Drosophila melanogaster: one gene and its partner. The protein of the gene in region 2 purifies or fractionates together with the protein of the main gene of each other region. This does not show direct contact. Each region holds a gene or a part of one and is shown on either strand. Other genes may lie near its edges.

Evidence for each region. The genes of interacting proteins can lie anywhere in the genome.
Region 1: the proteins of Vps50 (region 2) and Vps52 purify together in Drosophila melanogaster (affinity purification with western blotting, with the first as the bait; one study listed by BioGRID). This does not show direct contact.

The regions. Positions count from the first base shown.
Region 1 is NT_033779.5:5,519,458-5,525,511, forward strand, and holds Vps52 (vacuolar protein sorting 52), read right to left. Parts: upstream 4,442-6,054; 5' UTR 4,360-4,441; coding exon 4,215-4,359; intron 4,158-4,214; coding exon 3,556-4,157; intron 3,494-3,555; coding exon 3,278-3,493; intron 3,223-3,277; coding exon 3,067-3,222; intron 3,011-3,066; coding exon 2,892-3,010; intron 2,826-2,891; coding exon 2,705-2,825; intron 2,551-2,704; coding exon 1,921-2,550; 3' UTR 1,833-1,920; downstream 1-1,832. Other genes in the region: CG7382 (uncharacterized protein), read right to left, coding at 1-164, 226-355; cl (clot), read left to right, coding at 944-1,088, 1,162-1,243, 1,679-1,832; Elp4 (elongator complex protein 4), read left to right, coding at 4,953-6,054.
Region 2 is NT_033778.4:17,737,355-17,746,366, reverse strand, and holds Vps50 (vacuolar protein sorting 50), read right to left. Parts: upstream 6,467-9,012; 5' UTR 6,389-6,466; coding exon 6,323-6,388; intron 6,229-6,322; coding exon 6,010-6,228; intron 5,953-6,009; coding exon 5,635-5,952; intron 5,578-5,634; coding exon 4,720-5,577; intron 4,656-4,719; coding exon 4,324-4,655; intron 4,267-4,323; coding exon 4,101-4,266; intron 4,045-4,100; coding exon 3,934-4,044; intron 3,878-3,933; coding exon 3,554-3,877; intron 3,496-3,553; coding exon 3,383-3,495; intron 3,316-3,382; coding exon 2,922-3,315; 3' UTR 2,398-2,921; downstream 1-2,397. Other genes in the region: sub (subito), read left to right, coding at 1-189, 248-394; Ir54a (ionotropic receptor 54a), read right to left, coding at 506-2,266; PIG-A (phosphatidylinositol glycan anchor biosynthesis class A), read left to right, coding at 6,818-6,919, 6,989-7,234, 7,302-7,539, 7,596-8,449.

The DNA.
Region 1 (6,054 bases), on a different chromosome or scaffold from region 2:
TCGGAATATGGCAAAGAACATCACGCAGGTCACCCCTAATCCGGCGATTATAATCGCCGTATAACTGGCCGTCTTAGTGTTCTCCTTGATCTTCTCGCCAATGGGGCGCACATCCGTCGACACCTGGGTGTTATCCTGCGATCGTTGAAGGGATCCGCCACCATCTGCATGAATAATATAGTAAATATTTCAGATGTAACCTGATGAGAAGTTTGAGGCACAAACCGCGCGACGCTTCCTGTCGCAAATGTGGACTCCAGTGCATCGCCGCCGCACATTTTAACCTGGCAAAGTTGGTGGGCAACAAATTTTGCCGCTGAGTGACCAAATTGCGCAATAAAGCTAGCCGTGACATCGTTCACGACGAAATCAATGGTAAAAAACAAATAAACGTACTTTACGAAAAAAAGAATTCTAATCAGCTGTTTAGTTTTTCGATACAAATAGTGTTGCACATTTTCACCAATTAGCGGGTTATCGGGCTATTCCCGCTAAAATGGCTATAGCCAGCTAGAATGGCGTTTTTATTATTTCGATATTTACTAAAAACAAGAAATTGTTGAAAGTAAATTTTATATGTTTAGGGTACACAGATAATATTACAAATAAATCATATATATTACAAATAAATTTCGAAGTCAACGTATCTGTTCTTATTTATTTCCCTTTCATACGTTTCAAAATCTAAGCTCGTAGCTAAAAATCTATTATTTTCATTGGCTTGAAAATGGCCATGTATCAGTGCGCTCGAAAGCTGGTAACCCTGCCATCTGTGATAGTAAGCTTTTTTTACGTCAAAAAGTCAGAAAACCTGATAAATTAGGAGAAGTCCATTCCCCTCCAGAAGCCAGTTACTCCAAAGTTCGCCATCACGTCGCTTCCAACGCTTTTCGGTCGCATACTCAGACGCTACTGCGCGGTGAATACTAATCCCAGCAAGATCATGGTGGTCACACACAACGTCAAGGGATACGATGAGTTCACCAAAAAGATGGAGGAACTGGAGAACGGCGACGAGCCGGTCCACGTCCTCTTCAGTGGCGGCAAGGACGAGAAAGGAGAGAGCTGGTGCCCCTACTGCGTCAAGGGTGAGCATGCCGTGATCCCAATGCGGCTAACCGCAACCTATCCGATTCCCAAACTCATTTCTCACGTTTGCAGCGGAGCCGGTGATACACGATGCGCTGAAGAAGGCCCCGGGCAACTCGCACTTCGTGCATGTGGATGTGGGCGAGCGGGCATAGTAAGTTAATACCGCCAAACTGAAGAAAACAGCTGCGATTAGTTAGATAAGCAGGAATTAATATTTCATGCACTGCGAGACTGCGAACATCTGCTGGTTTCTTTGGTTCGAAATAGCCAAATAGTTTCAAAACACAGGCTTAGTCATTTAGAATGACGTACATATATGCATATATCCCACGTCATTCAGTTGCCAAAACCCTTTGTCATTCGATTATCAAGTTCAAAACATTTTGGCAATGTGAAACTAGTCACTCAACCCCAACTGTACGATGATGAAATAAGCACTCGAGTACTTTTTCACACGCCGAGAACATTCATGATAAAAAAAACCATTAAACAACGATAGCTTTACAATGCTCTTGAGTTGTATTCATGCCGCCTGTTATCACTGAACCGTGGTAAGCAATAAATTAACACTTGTTTTTCACTGCAGCTGGAAGGATTTGAACTGCCCCTTCCGCAAGGATCCCAACACGCATCTGATCTTCTTGCCCACTCTGTTGCGCTGGAAGCGGCCACAGCGTCTGGATGGCGAGCGCTGCTCCAATCAGGATCTCGTCGAGATGATGTTCGAGGATGAGGATTAAGTCGTATACCTTACATACATTTATTTTGGAACTTTACTCAATTTGGAATACACAGAAGACACACACACAGATTCAATTAAAGCGTCCCTCAGTAATTGCTCTTGTACTTCTTGATCTCCACCATCACGACGTGGATATTGGTCAGCTGGGCGCGGGCATTGGGCGTGAGGAGCTTGTGGAATCGGTGATAGTATTGCACCAAACTGGCCAACGCAAGCTGCAGAAGCTGTGAGCCCGTCAGCAATGAGGGAAATGAGAGAAGCACCTCCCTGTTTAGCTCCTCCAGAGATTTCTTCCAATTGGCCGAGAAGCTGGCGACCAAGGCCAGACTTCTTCGCTCCTGTTTGCGCAGCTCATCCATTTGTTCCTTCTCGAAGAAGTGCTCGCACTCCTTGACGAACTGAATAATGCCTCCGAAATGAGGGGCCAGGATCTCCTCGACATATTCCGCACTGCGGGAGTTGAGCTGCTCTCTGAATGCCTCCGCTTCTTTGGAGTTATCTCGCGTGTGCTCCATCAACACGCCCAAAACCAAATCGTAGTTGTTTATCAGGTAGATTAGCTGATCCTTTCGCGTTGGAAATATTGCGGCCATGCGAAGGATAAAGCACTCCACTTCATTTTGCAGTTCCAGAAGCAGTCGGCTAACCAATTCATTAGGAAAATGCTCCGAGATTCCCACAATGGCCGCACTGAACTCTGCGTAGCGTCGTGTTATCTGTAAAGTATACGTATTATATTATGACAAGGCGTTTTGTTCAAAAGAAATGGTTAAAAGTTATCTCTATTGGCCCTCTCTTGACTTTTAGAATGCTATCAACATCGATTTAAGATAATTTGTAACCCGTACTAACTTTAAATCGTATACTTACGTAGTGCGGTCCCAATTCCTTGTTGAACTTGGTTGGATCACAGTCATGTATGCTCTGGATATTCAAGCGGAATACTAGTTCGAAACGTGGCCATATTACCGCCTGCAGGGAGTCCCAGTATCTGAAATCAAAACATATAAATATCCAATTGTGAACCAAAATCATCAACGCCCATGAATAGACTCACTTATCCAATGCGGGAACACAGCGCTTGTGGCACATTAGCTGATAGCGGAAAATGAGATGGATGCACAGGAACATGGCAATGGTATCAAAACAGTCGTGTATGGAGGTCTCCAGATTTTTCTAGGTTCAAAAAACAGATATGATTAATATTTCGCAAGTAAAAACCATTGACTTACAATCATTAGAGTTAGGGTTTTGCCCATGATTTGGTTGAACAAATCTTGCGCTTGAGTGCCGCGAACCATAAAGAACTCCGTGACAAATAGGTATTCCCGACAGGCATTGTCCACTAGGGCGTATTGCTCCGACCGAAAGAGAGCTTCCGCTGTGTACTGTTTAAAATTTGAGATGTATCTCCTTTGCAAGTGTATGTATCACATCTCTTACTCGATTCTTTAGCTGCGCATGTGGCACTATAATTGGTGCCTCCAGCTGCTGGTTAAGTATATCGCCTCGCTTTCCTATTGTGAAAATGGTGCTCTTGTGCTTTAGACTCGTCGTCTTGGAGAATAAACCTTTGGATGCATTATCTTCGATGCCCATCAGATCGTCCTTTGTGCAGGACTCCTCGAATTTGAGGCTCGTCAAGCGTGTGGAATAACTCTGCAAGAAAGTTATGAATTTAAGAAAATTCATGCTTCCACAACTTTGAAAAAAAAACCAACCTTAAAATAGCTATAGTAAATTTTGCCCATCGTATCGATGTATTCACTGCATATTTCCTGCGCCACATGCCGCTCGTTGGACAGGATGAACTCGAAGAAGAATTTGTGCTTCAGCATGGCGTTCTGTGGAATCTGGTAGTTTGTCATGGGCTTCCGGAACTTGTAAATCTGCTCCAGCAGATAGGAGCGAATCTTGGCCATGGCTTTCAGTCGAAGCTTCTGCAGCACATCGCTCACATCGCTGGTGGACTTTGACTCTTTGAAGCTGAGCTCCTTGACCAGCGAAAGTTTGTGATTCAGTACATTCAACTGGGTGCTGAAATCCCGCTCCGTAACCGGGGTTTCCATTATTATGTTGATCATCTCCTCGGACACGGCCATGTCCTCGATAAACTGGGACAATTGAGCCTTGACCGACTGACGATTGGTCAGTTGGAGGGACATGGATACGGATTTTCTTTGCAGCTGCGTGATCTCAGTGCTTATGTTGTTCAAAACGCTCTGGAAGCTCATCAGCATATTTTCCATGCGCTCCAGGACATCGTCGCAATCGTTTATCTGATTGTGCAGGTTGGCTATATTCTGCGACTCCGCTATATAGTCTGGTATTCAAAGGGATATCATTAGAGCTAAGTTTGCATATGGAACATGGTGCTTACCCTCTATGGACTTATTCTCCACCTCCTTAAACTCCTTTTCAATCTGTCGTGAATATTGCCGCAGATCCGTGGTGTTCTTTAGGATCTCCCGCACCTCCTCGTTGTCCAGTTGTTCCGTCATTTGCGGGGACGGCACCTCGGCCATTTTTGTTTTCCAATTTAAAGGTATTTTTCCCAATTGTTTTTCTCAACTACCAACAAAAATAAAGTATGTCATCAAAACAGCTGTTTTTGTTATCGGAGTAAGATGTGCTTTTGGAAAGACCCTAATATTGGTGATGAGAACTAAACTATGTTTTCAAAAAAAAAAAAGATTTCTTGGTTCATATAAAAAATTACTTAACTAATACAATTTTAATTAAAATTAATTTTTGGGTGAAAATTGAAATTGAATTTAAGACCAATTTTTTTCAATTATTCATTTATTTGTACACAAGCAATCAATGAGTTTCTTTTCTAGTACAACACTTGACTTGTGCCTCTTATATTCTACCAATTATACAACATGAACACAAATTTATTTTTAAGCAATAAAAGCTAAACTATCGCCCTACCCAGAACTTGCGAATTAACAGCTGTTTTGACTATCGATACACAATTGGAGAGTGTGCCCCCATTGGCAGCCATCGAGAATAGATAATATCGAAAGTATCGAAATAGAAGTTTACGCGAAGAGAAGGAAACACATAGCAAAAAAGAACGCAAAAAATAAAGGTTAGCGAAATCTGTGCGACGAAGATGACCAGTTTCCGCAAGCGCACCGTGCAGAAGCCAATCCGCGGCACCCGCACCTCACCGCACACGGCGCAGGTGATCACCTCCAGCGGAAATCCGTACTTGGACGTGGTCATTGGCGGCGGTCTGCCCATGGGTTCGATCTGCCTGATCGAGGAGGATCGCTTCATGACGCACGCCAAGGTGCTGGCCAAGTACTTTCTGGCCGAGGGTGTGATTTCCAAGCAGGAGATATTTCTGGGCAGCCTGGACGACATTCCAGCCGAGATGCTGCGCCGTCTGCCCAGACCGCTGACCGACCAGGAATCGATGGAGCAAAGCGAGGTGCAAGCGCTGGGAGATGCTGGCGCCGAAAATGGCCTAAGGATCGCCTGGCGATACAATGATCTGCCGCTGGTGAATTCGGAACATGCCACAGCAAAAATCGGACACCATTTCAATCTGATGGAACAGATGGACTCCATGATGCTCTACAATGTCAAGACTACCTTGTGGGACGATAGCCCCAAGCATCTGGACATCGTCATTGACGAGGAGTTCTCCAAGAGCAGCTCCCCAACCACTCCGTCGCTGGAGCAGCAGCCCGTGGAGGATGCCCCACCGATTCCGGGCACGGAGACCGCTCCGCAGGAGAAGATGCCAGCCCAGGAGGAGGAGAACTCTGCCAACAACAATAATAACAACAATAACAATAGCAGCAGCGTGACCAGTAGCACAAAAACAGGCAGCCAGGATTCGCCGTTGCAGGTGTTCCACAACCCTCGGTACAAAGGACTGCTCAACGATATTCAACAGCTGCTGCGTAACGAGAGCTTCGTCGCTGGGACCAAGAATAACCTGTGCCGCGTCTGCCTGACCTCGTTGGGATCGCCGCTGTGGTACGACGAACACTTCGGCGAGGATCTGATCAAGTTTCTCACACTGCTGATGGCCAGTGTGCGGAACTGCAACTCCGTGTGCCTGATCACGATGCCCATGCACCTGATTGCCAAGTACGATGCCAGCCTAGTGCCCAAGATCCGCCAACTGGTGGACTATGCCATCGAACTGGAGTCGTTTGCCGGTTCGGAGCGTGAAACGCACCCAGCCTTCAAGGAGTACAGTG
Region 2 (9,012 bases):
AACGTGCGCCTGCAGTTAGAGATTGAGCAACTGAAGTACGATCATGTGCTGCAAATGCAGCTGCTTGAGGAGAAACTGCGAAGGGAACTGACTGCCACCTACCAGGAGATTATCCAAAACAACAAGAAGCAATATGAAGACGAATGCGAGAAAAAATTACTAATTGCGCAAAGAGAATCAGAATTTATGGTTAGTAAATATAACAATATAATATAATAGTATATAATATAAACTATATATTTAACAGCTTTCCTCTCAACGCCGAAGGTATGAAGAACAAATAGAAGACCTCAAAGATGAGATAGAGGAACTTAAGAATCCTGCAAGCGACACGGACATTTCTGATGATCCAAACGAATCTAAGTCTCCCATCGAAATCCTCGATGATGATTAGTTTCTTTAATTCACAATTTTTAATTTGTTAAGTGTTAGTGATTTTAAAATTTAAATTTGAAACTTGATATGTTGCAGAGTTGGCCACGTTTTCCAATAAACATGTGAATGATCAATAAACTAGTGACACAAATAATGATGTGATTCTGTGCCAAGAAACTTCGAGCAAGAATACCAGAATCGCAATTACCATAAATGTTCCGTACGCCTGCCACATCCACTGAAAATCCACAATCCTTAGCGAGGTAGGGTGCTCTCTTTCCTTCAACTGCAGGCTGGGATCCTCCAGACCGGACAATCCAGCTGCTGTCATGTCGTAGTAGTGCATTCCCACCCAGAAGTCATAGAGTCCATTGGCATTTACCTCCAAAATAAGTTGGCTGACGGGCTCTGTGAACAAGGAATTCTGCGGCCATTGGAAAGAGAGCAGCGCCAGGGACCACAGGCAGTCATCCGTGGAGTAGATAAACAGCTCTCGGGTGAAGCGCTTCTGCTGCTCACTGAACAAATTCCAATACAGTCGGGAGGCGAAGTAGGCATTGCTTGTGTTCCTTCCATTCCTCAAGTGATTGTACTCACTCACATTGACCACCAGCATGGGCACACGCAGTTTCATCCATGTGGGAAAGTCTTCCTCGGTCGTAACCAATGGTATTTTCGTGCGACGCAGACCAGCGAAACTTCGTGCTTGAAATTGCCGTGGTGGATGAGCCATTAATGTGTCCAGTCCCGCTCCAAAAATGCTGCTCACATTAAGACCCACTATTCCAAGCATCAGAAATATCAACCTGGTGGAGAAGCTTCTCGACAAGGGCAAATTGAAGGATTGGCCCAAGATTCCGCGTAAAGCTTTATCATTTAGCACAAAGTCCACCAGACGCACATCGCGATGGGTCATGTTTCGAAGGAGATTCAAAGCCAATCCATAACTGGAAACAATAACAATAGCCAGGAACATATTGGAAGCACTGCTCAGGATAAAGTAAATATCCTTAATTGGAATTCTTCTGGCCACCGGTACCATAAGGCAGACGTGGGTCACCTCCATCGGATAGCTTGTGCTGGCCAACTGCTCGACTCGCTCCATTATCGTCAGACTGGCAGGAACATCAACTGAAAAGCTCTCGCTCAGCTCCTTGAGGGCAGTGGCATTTAGAAAGCGCCCGGTGGTCACCTTCTTGGACAGCTGCAGCGTGGCGTTCAGCTTCCACGACAGCACGTGAAAGAAGCGTCCCACAGATCCGGCTAGGATTTGCTTACCCGTTCGTCTGTCCACGTAGAGAACGGAACGCGGAAGCCATTGGTCGGGCATAACAGTAAGAGGGTGACCGTGCATGTTGGGAAAATCCTTGTCGAATATGGTTGAAGATTCAAGAGAGCGATACTCCGTTCGGAAGCTAGGATATAGGTGATATCTATAAAAGTAACGATGTTCATCTGAAGCTAAAAGTCCAACAATGTTCCAAATTCGGCGATGATAGCACGTTTCGAAAATATAGTCCATTCTAGTTGGATCAGAGAAATTGTTTGATATATAGACAATCTTCTTCTGACTCGGAAAATCCATTAGCGAACTCGTAAAGTTTTCGAGTAACGCCAGGTCCTTTTGCAGCTCATGTCCAGGCAGGCAAGCTACGTGTAGCGGCCGAGAAAACATCCGAATGTTTATAAAAGTCTCGCTATCTGAAAGGACAACCACTGGAATGGTTTGATTCTCAAAGATATCCTTTGCCCAGTTGTACGGACAATAATCAATACGAATCATTATTACTGAGAGCGAGTGCTCCGCTGCTGCTCTAAAGATGAAGTCCACAGCGGATCCCGCAACCAGGACGGGTGCCCATAAAACTATTCCTGTTATCACTGTCCACATGTCCTTTCAATTATGTTGCCCATCAGACTTAGCTGCTTTATTTATATTGTGCGGGAACTGCTCCAAGTTGAAGGGAAATGCCTTGTCAAGCTTTTCACGCCCTCGATGATAAGACACAATTCGCATTGTTTGTAATATGCATATCTCAAAATATGTATTCTTTGTTATTTTGTTACAGTTGCTAAATAGTTAATGGTGTGTGATCGTGGGAGGCGCGCAAATCAAATCGATACGCTGCCCCTTACATTTAAGTTGTTTTACAATTATTTGTCTGTTTCCTGCTGCAAATAAATATTACAAATAAATAGGTATCTTAATTATACGTGTTTTGTGTGTACATATATATATATATATGTCTGTTTTCTCTAGGTACTTAAGTCATGGTGAATGGTAAACCAATTGCCAATTATCAATTAGAAAGATTATAGGATAGATTGCACTTAAGGAGGGTTTGGGAGATTCTAAATTTGAAACGAAGTACTTCATGGAGATCGCCTGTATAACTAAGGTAGAATCATTAGCCTTAAACACAATGTTAATTTGAACTAAACGGAATGTTAATTACACGTAAAGAATGTCATGAGATTGATCTACTAACAAAGTTAGTTTGGGGTTATAACAAAATAAATACAATTAAATAATCGTTCGGGGGAGCTCAGATAACGCTGCTTAAATTTGAGCCGGCTACGGATCCGTGGTTGTTCTTCTGCGGTGTTGTTGTCGGCGTCGTTGACATTGCTATTCCATTTTGTATTCCAGCGTCAAGCAACTGTAGCAACCTTTGTCGCGTGCGTTTATCGCTGACACAAATACAATGAATAAGGTTGTTCAATTGCTTGAGAGAGTATTCATCGCCCGTACGCTGCTGTTCAATCCATTGCTCGAACTGTTCGGGCGCAAAATAGTAGGTCTTGATGAACACATCCACATAGGAGCGATGCTGTGGGTACTTTTGGTTCGATATGAGCTCTAGGAACGACATAAAGTTCGCAAAATCCAGTTGCATAAGCGCTCGTCCTCCGGCAGAGCATTTCTTCACATTGGAGAACCTATAACATAATAAACAATAACTATGTAAAATCAGATCCTTCTGAGAAATAGAAAATAAGAACGTACCCCTCCACCAGCAGATGCGTGGCCACATGGGCCATTGAATTCCACACTTGCTTGCTGGGCACTGGAACCTCCTTGGCAATTTCCTCCAGACACATGGCGAAGCTTTGTATGTTCTGCATATAAATGTGGTTAGTTTGTGTAGTGTATTAAGCATTATTTAGCATTTCCCACCCTATTTAGAACATCACTGTAGTTGCTGTGCTGGTGTATCACATGATTAACATCCCATTTGACCTTGGCCATCTGAGCCAGAATGGATGACAAATCGATGACGCGCGACGTGACGCATGTGTAAACGAGTTTAGCCAAGTCCGCAATATAATCGCTATAGTCCAGGTAACTGGCCAGGATTGGACGCTCTGCAAGGGGCAGCAAGTGGTTCAGATAGTGCTGAAGGACGTTGAACTGCTGAAGCATGCTGCGACCCGCTTCCACGGCCACGATGCGTTGTGACAGTCCGTATAAGGTATCCGGATTAGCTAGCTCATTATTTGCCTGCAAAAGGATGATTTAATTAATTAAAGCTCTAGGAAAATAACATATAATATTACCAGAGAGGAGAAATTAAGGGGCCATAGCTTGATTTGTGGCAGAACGTTAACCTCGACCGAGCGTAAACGTTGCTCCAGTCTAGGAGAGTGCATATTATCCGTTGCTACCGGCTGCAAATATCAACAATTAATATATCTTCAAAAGTGATTGTTATAAAAATATTTACCGCATCTTTTCCGAAGATTTCGTGCACTGCGTAGACATAAAAGTCAATGAGCTCCAGGATGCAAGCCACAATCTTGGGAGAGATGCAGTGCAATAACTTGCACATCTGCAGATATCTTCCAATGACGCGCATCACATTTAGCGCAGTGTTGTTTACCAGCAGCTGGCTAAAATAAATTTACATTTATTATGATTTCGCGGTATAATAACCAAGATAATATTACTTGCTGGCGTCATCGAACTCCTTGCTTTGCAAGCTTTTCTGCTCGTCATCGCTCTCCTCGCTGAAATAACAGGAGGCCTCGTCCACAATGCCGGATAAGATGTCCTCCTCCAACATTGCTGCATCCAAGCCACCATCAAATGGCGAACTTTTTTCGGAGAATCTGAGAAAATATCCGTAGGAACCGTAAATGGAGCTGCCACCATCCTGGGAGTGCACGGAAACCAGCTCATCGCAGTTATTATTGCTGATCGGGGAGTTGTTGGATGAGGCCAGCAAAGCAGTTGTCGGAGACTTGTGGCGCCGAAGAGTGTGCCGAACCGATCGGAATTCCTACAGAGAATTACATGTAGATAACTTAACCAGTCGCTTTAATGGCCAATTTAAAATTACTTACAGGCAATTGCAGGATATGCGCAAATGAGTCGACTTGCGTCCAGGACTCGTTATCCAAGAATAAACAGATTTCCTCAATGCAGCAGATATGGTAACGCCGGAAGAACTCCTCGCTCTGCTGCTGCATCGTCTCGATCAACTTCTCCGACTGCTCGCCGCAGAACTCCAGACCCACCTTCTTAAGTCTTTGTACCACGGACAGCACTTGGATGAACTGATCGTATTTAAGAGCCGTCAACTTTGCCGACTGCAGGAACAAGCACACTTTGGTCAGAATGTCATTCCAAACGCGTGACTGTCCCTTCTTCAGTTTCTGCTGAATGTAAATATCTGGTGAATCCTCCTCCTCCTGTCCATACAACTTGTAGTTATTGTGCCACATAACAACCTGATAGTAGGAGGCCAGAATGGTCCAGAAGGTTTTGCACAAACTAATCAGACAGGGCAGCAGCTTATCCACGCTAAGCTGTTCGCACAGCTGCTCATAGAGCGGCTTGGCCTGATCGTCCTGGCCAGGATCGCTGTAACCGCGAAGCACTGCATTCACAGAAGAGTGAATGGCCGAAATATAGTTGATGTGCAGCTGGTCCATGGCCATCAGTGACTTGTTTGCCAATTTGTAGGCCTCCTGCAGTTTGGCGTATTTTCGCCCATCAAAACCTAGCACCATTTCATTAAGCACAGTATCCAGCTGAAATTCCATAAGCAGCATGGTTTCCTGCAGCTTTTTAGAGAGCGATTGTACACAGTTGAACTGCATGTAGGCCTCGGCGGAGCTCTTGCACTGCAGGAGCAGAGCTATGGCGGCGCTGTAGTTGTGATCCGCTAGCAGCTTCTGTACCTCCACGTCAGTAGTGCGCTGTAAGATATTGTATGTTATTCAAATTGCCCACAGAATCATCAATTCATTTCTGACCAGTCTCTTGATGGCCACCAGGGTGTCCAACACCTCCTTGAGCACCTCTCGTTTGCGGTAGCTGGCCAAGATCTCCAGGCTAGTGGTTGTTAGGTTCGTGCGAGCAAAGTTTAAATAGGATCTCGCCTTTTGGCATGTCCACAGCGATTCCTCCAACTTCTTCTGCGTGTCATTGATAGCGGCAAACTCACTGCTGCAGGCATTCCGCTGCTCCAGGATGTTCTGGAGCACCTGTTTGGTAAGAACCTTCTGCTGAGTGCGCAATTGTGCAATGGTGACCTCGATGAGCTCGTTGTCTATGCCATCGTTGAGAACTTTCTACGGAAGATCGTGGTGGGTAATTAAAGCCACAGCTTACTGGTCTACCTGGTTTACCTTGAGTTCGTACAGCTGTGGATTGCTGTCGGGGTTGTAGTAGCACTGTTCGATGCTCTCCAGGATCTCCTGGTCCGACTTTTGTGCATTTGACTCGCTGGAAGAAGTGGCTGCCGCGTCTGTGGCATCAGTTTCTTGACTGGCGGAGGCGTCTGTGGTCACCGTTTGAATGAAATAATCCGAAAAACCCATGGCAGGAATTTTCATTTGACGGTTCGTCTTTGTGTGCGTGAGCAGTATTTTGTTTGGTGGGCGGAATGCATAGCAACGGGGTTAGTTTTGGGGATTATTTAAATGTTCGATGATCTGCTACCTGTTTGTGCAATATGTCCAAGAATTTGCTCTTGAATTCGTCCATTTTGGCCTTGGAATTCTGCATGATTTAGCCATGAAGAAACCAGCCAAAACACAAAAACGTCTGCAGCCGAGTGTGACCAGCATCCGCAAGCATTGCTAAAGCTACTTGCAGTGTTAAAAAATATATAAAGTTATAGTACCTAGAAAATAGGTACATCATTGTCTACAGACCTATTTTTAGGAAAAACTTTTGCCTTGTTGAGAAGAAAAAGCTTTAAGCACTTTTATACATATTCGTGGCACATTAATTTAATGTTATATTCAAATCGAAATTGGGCCCCAGTACCGATTAGCATTTTCTTCACCTTTCAACACTACTACATCGACCACTCTTTGGCCATTGTGCACACTGTTGTTTTTTGCTTGCCGATTTTTGTTTAACATATTGTATTTATTTGTTTATATGTGGTATGTCAAATTACTGGAAGCCGCAGAACCCAAAGAGTGAAAAATGCGCATCTGCATGGTGTCGGACTTCTTCTATCCGAGCATCGGAGGGGTCGAGGAGCACGTCTACAACCTTTCGCAAATGTTGCTCAGCTTGGGTCACAAGGTGACTATTGTCAATTGGGCGGACCACGAATGATAACGATTATTTGAACTGACTATCTTTGCCCATTAGATCGTCGTGCTGACCCACGCCTACGGAGACTGCAGTGGCATTCGCTATGTGACTGGCTACCTGAAGGTCTACTATCTGCCCATTAAGGTGTGCTACAACCAGTGCATACTGCCCACCGCTGTTTGCAATGTGCCGATGTTGCGAGCGGTGCTACTTCGTGAGCGGGTGGAAGTGGTCCATGGCCACTCTGCCTTCAGTGCTCTGGCGCACGAGGCACTGATGGTGGGCTCCCTCCTGGGGCTAAAGGTAGGCATAATCTTCAATACGAAACGTATAGTTTAAATCGCTAATGAATCATCTTTTTGTTTGGCAGACTGTCTTTACCGATCACAGCCTCTTTGGCTTTGCGGACTTGTCAGCCGCTCTAACCAACAATCTGCTGGAGGTCAACTTGGGCATGGTCAATCACGCCATCTGTGTATCTCACATAGGGAAGGAGAACACTGTTCTACGCGCTCGAGTAGCTAAACATCGAGTTTCCGTCATTCCCAATGCAGTCGACACTGCCCTGTTTACTCCCGATCCTCAACAGCGTCCGAGCAATGATATAAGTATGGGGACTTCGTCGTTTTGTAGTATTTTTAATTAACTTATCCCTACTTTTCAGTCAACATTGTAGTGGCCTCCCGTCTTGTCTACCGCAAAGGCATTGATTTGCTAGCTGGCATCATTCCACGGTTCAAAAACACTCCCAACATAAACTTTATCATTGTGGGCGATGGACCTAAGCGTGATCTGCTGGAGGAGATTCGCGAAAAGACCAATATGCAGGAAAGGGTTCAAATGGTGGGCGCCGTGGAGCATAACAGGGTTCGCGATTTCCTGGTGCGTGGCCACATCTTTTTGAATACCTCACTGACTGAGGCCTACTGCATGGCCATCGTTGAGGCGGCTTCCTGTGGACTGCAGGTGGTGTCCACCAGTGTGGGCGGAATTCCCGAAGTGCTACCCAAGAGTCTTATACTGCTGGCAGAGCCCGAAATTGATGCCATTTACGCAGCGATTCTAATTGCCATCGACCGTCATCGAAAGAGTTCCTTTAAGGTTAGTCCATCAGTTGGCAATGGGCATTTGGCCTCGGACGCTAATGGAAAGGTTAAGCGGCGACGTCGCAGGAAAGTCGATACTCCTATCTCTCCTACACAACTGCCAGCAGTCTCTGCTCCTCCTGCGGATCAGAACAGCTCTACAGAGCCCGTAATGTGTCCATATAGATGTAATGAGTTGGTGGAAACGCTTTACAATTGGGAGGATGTTGCCCTTCGCACAGTAAAGGTGTACGATCGCGTTTTAAATGAACGCTCTTTCACCACTAGCGAGCTGGTGTTTGCGGTGTGGCAGCACGGATCCTGGTTTCTGGTGTTCTTCGTTGTGGCCCACTTCTTAATGCGCTTGCTGGAGCTTTGGCGTCCTCGGAAACACGTAGAGATAGCGCAGGATGTACAACGTAGGGCCAGCTAGCAAACACCAAACGGATTCCATTCTTCCATCAACTAGCCAATTATATATTTATGCGATAGATTTTATAACCCTTGTTGTGTTTATTTGTTGTCCATAGTAGTAGTCGAAGTGATAGTTCCCTTAAACAATATGATAATCCATTCTTATGATAAAATTAACCCAAACGGCGCTGCTGATCTACGCCGATAAAATATTCCGCCCACAGCAACGTTTTTATAAAGAAGACTGTTTCTTATATTCATTTCATTCTAGAATCATAGATTCTAGGAAGCTAAGCTTTAACAATTTAAAGTGTGCGATAATGATTTAAAGAGTCGCTAGTCGATTCTTCAATTTAAAATCTATATTTATTAAAAATATAGTTATTTTATGTATATCTATGCTCAATAGAAATTAACTTTTTTTTTTTAAAGAACCCAAAGGAAATAAATAATCTAGAGAATTTTCTGATCATGTCCGAGTTAAATTTAATAAATTAAAACAGGTTGCATAAATCAAATTTCTTTCAGTAATATGGCACAATCCTGCAATAAAATGTATTACAAAAATGAAATATATAATAA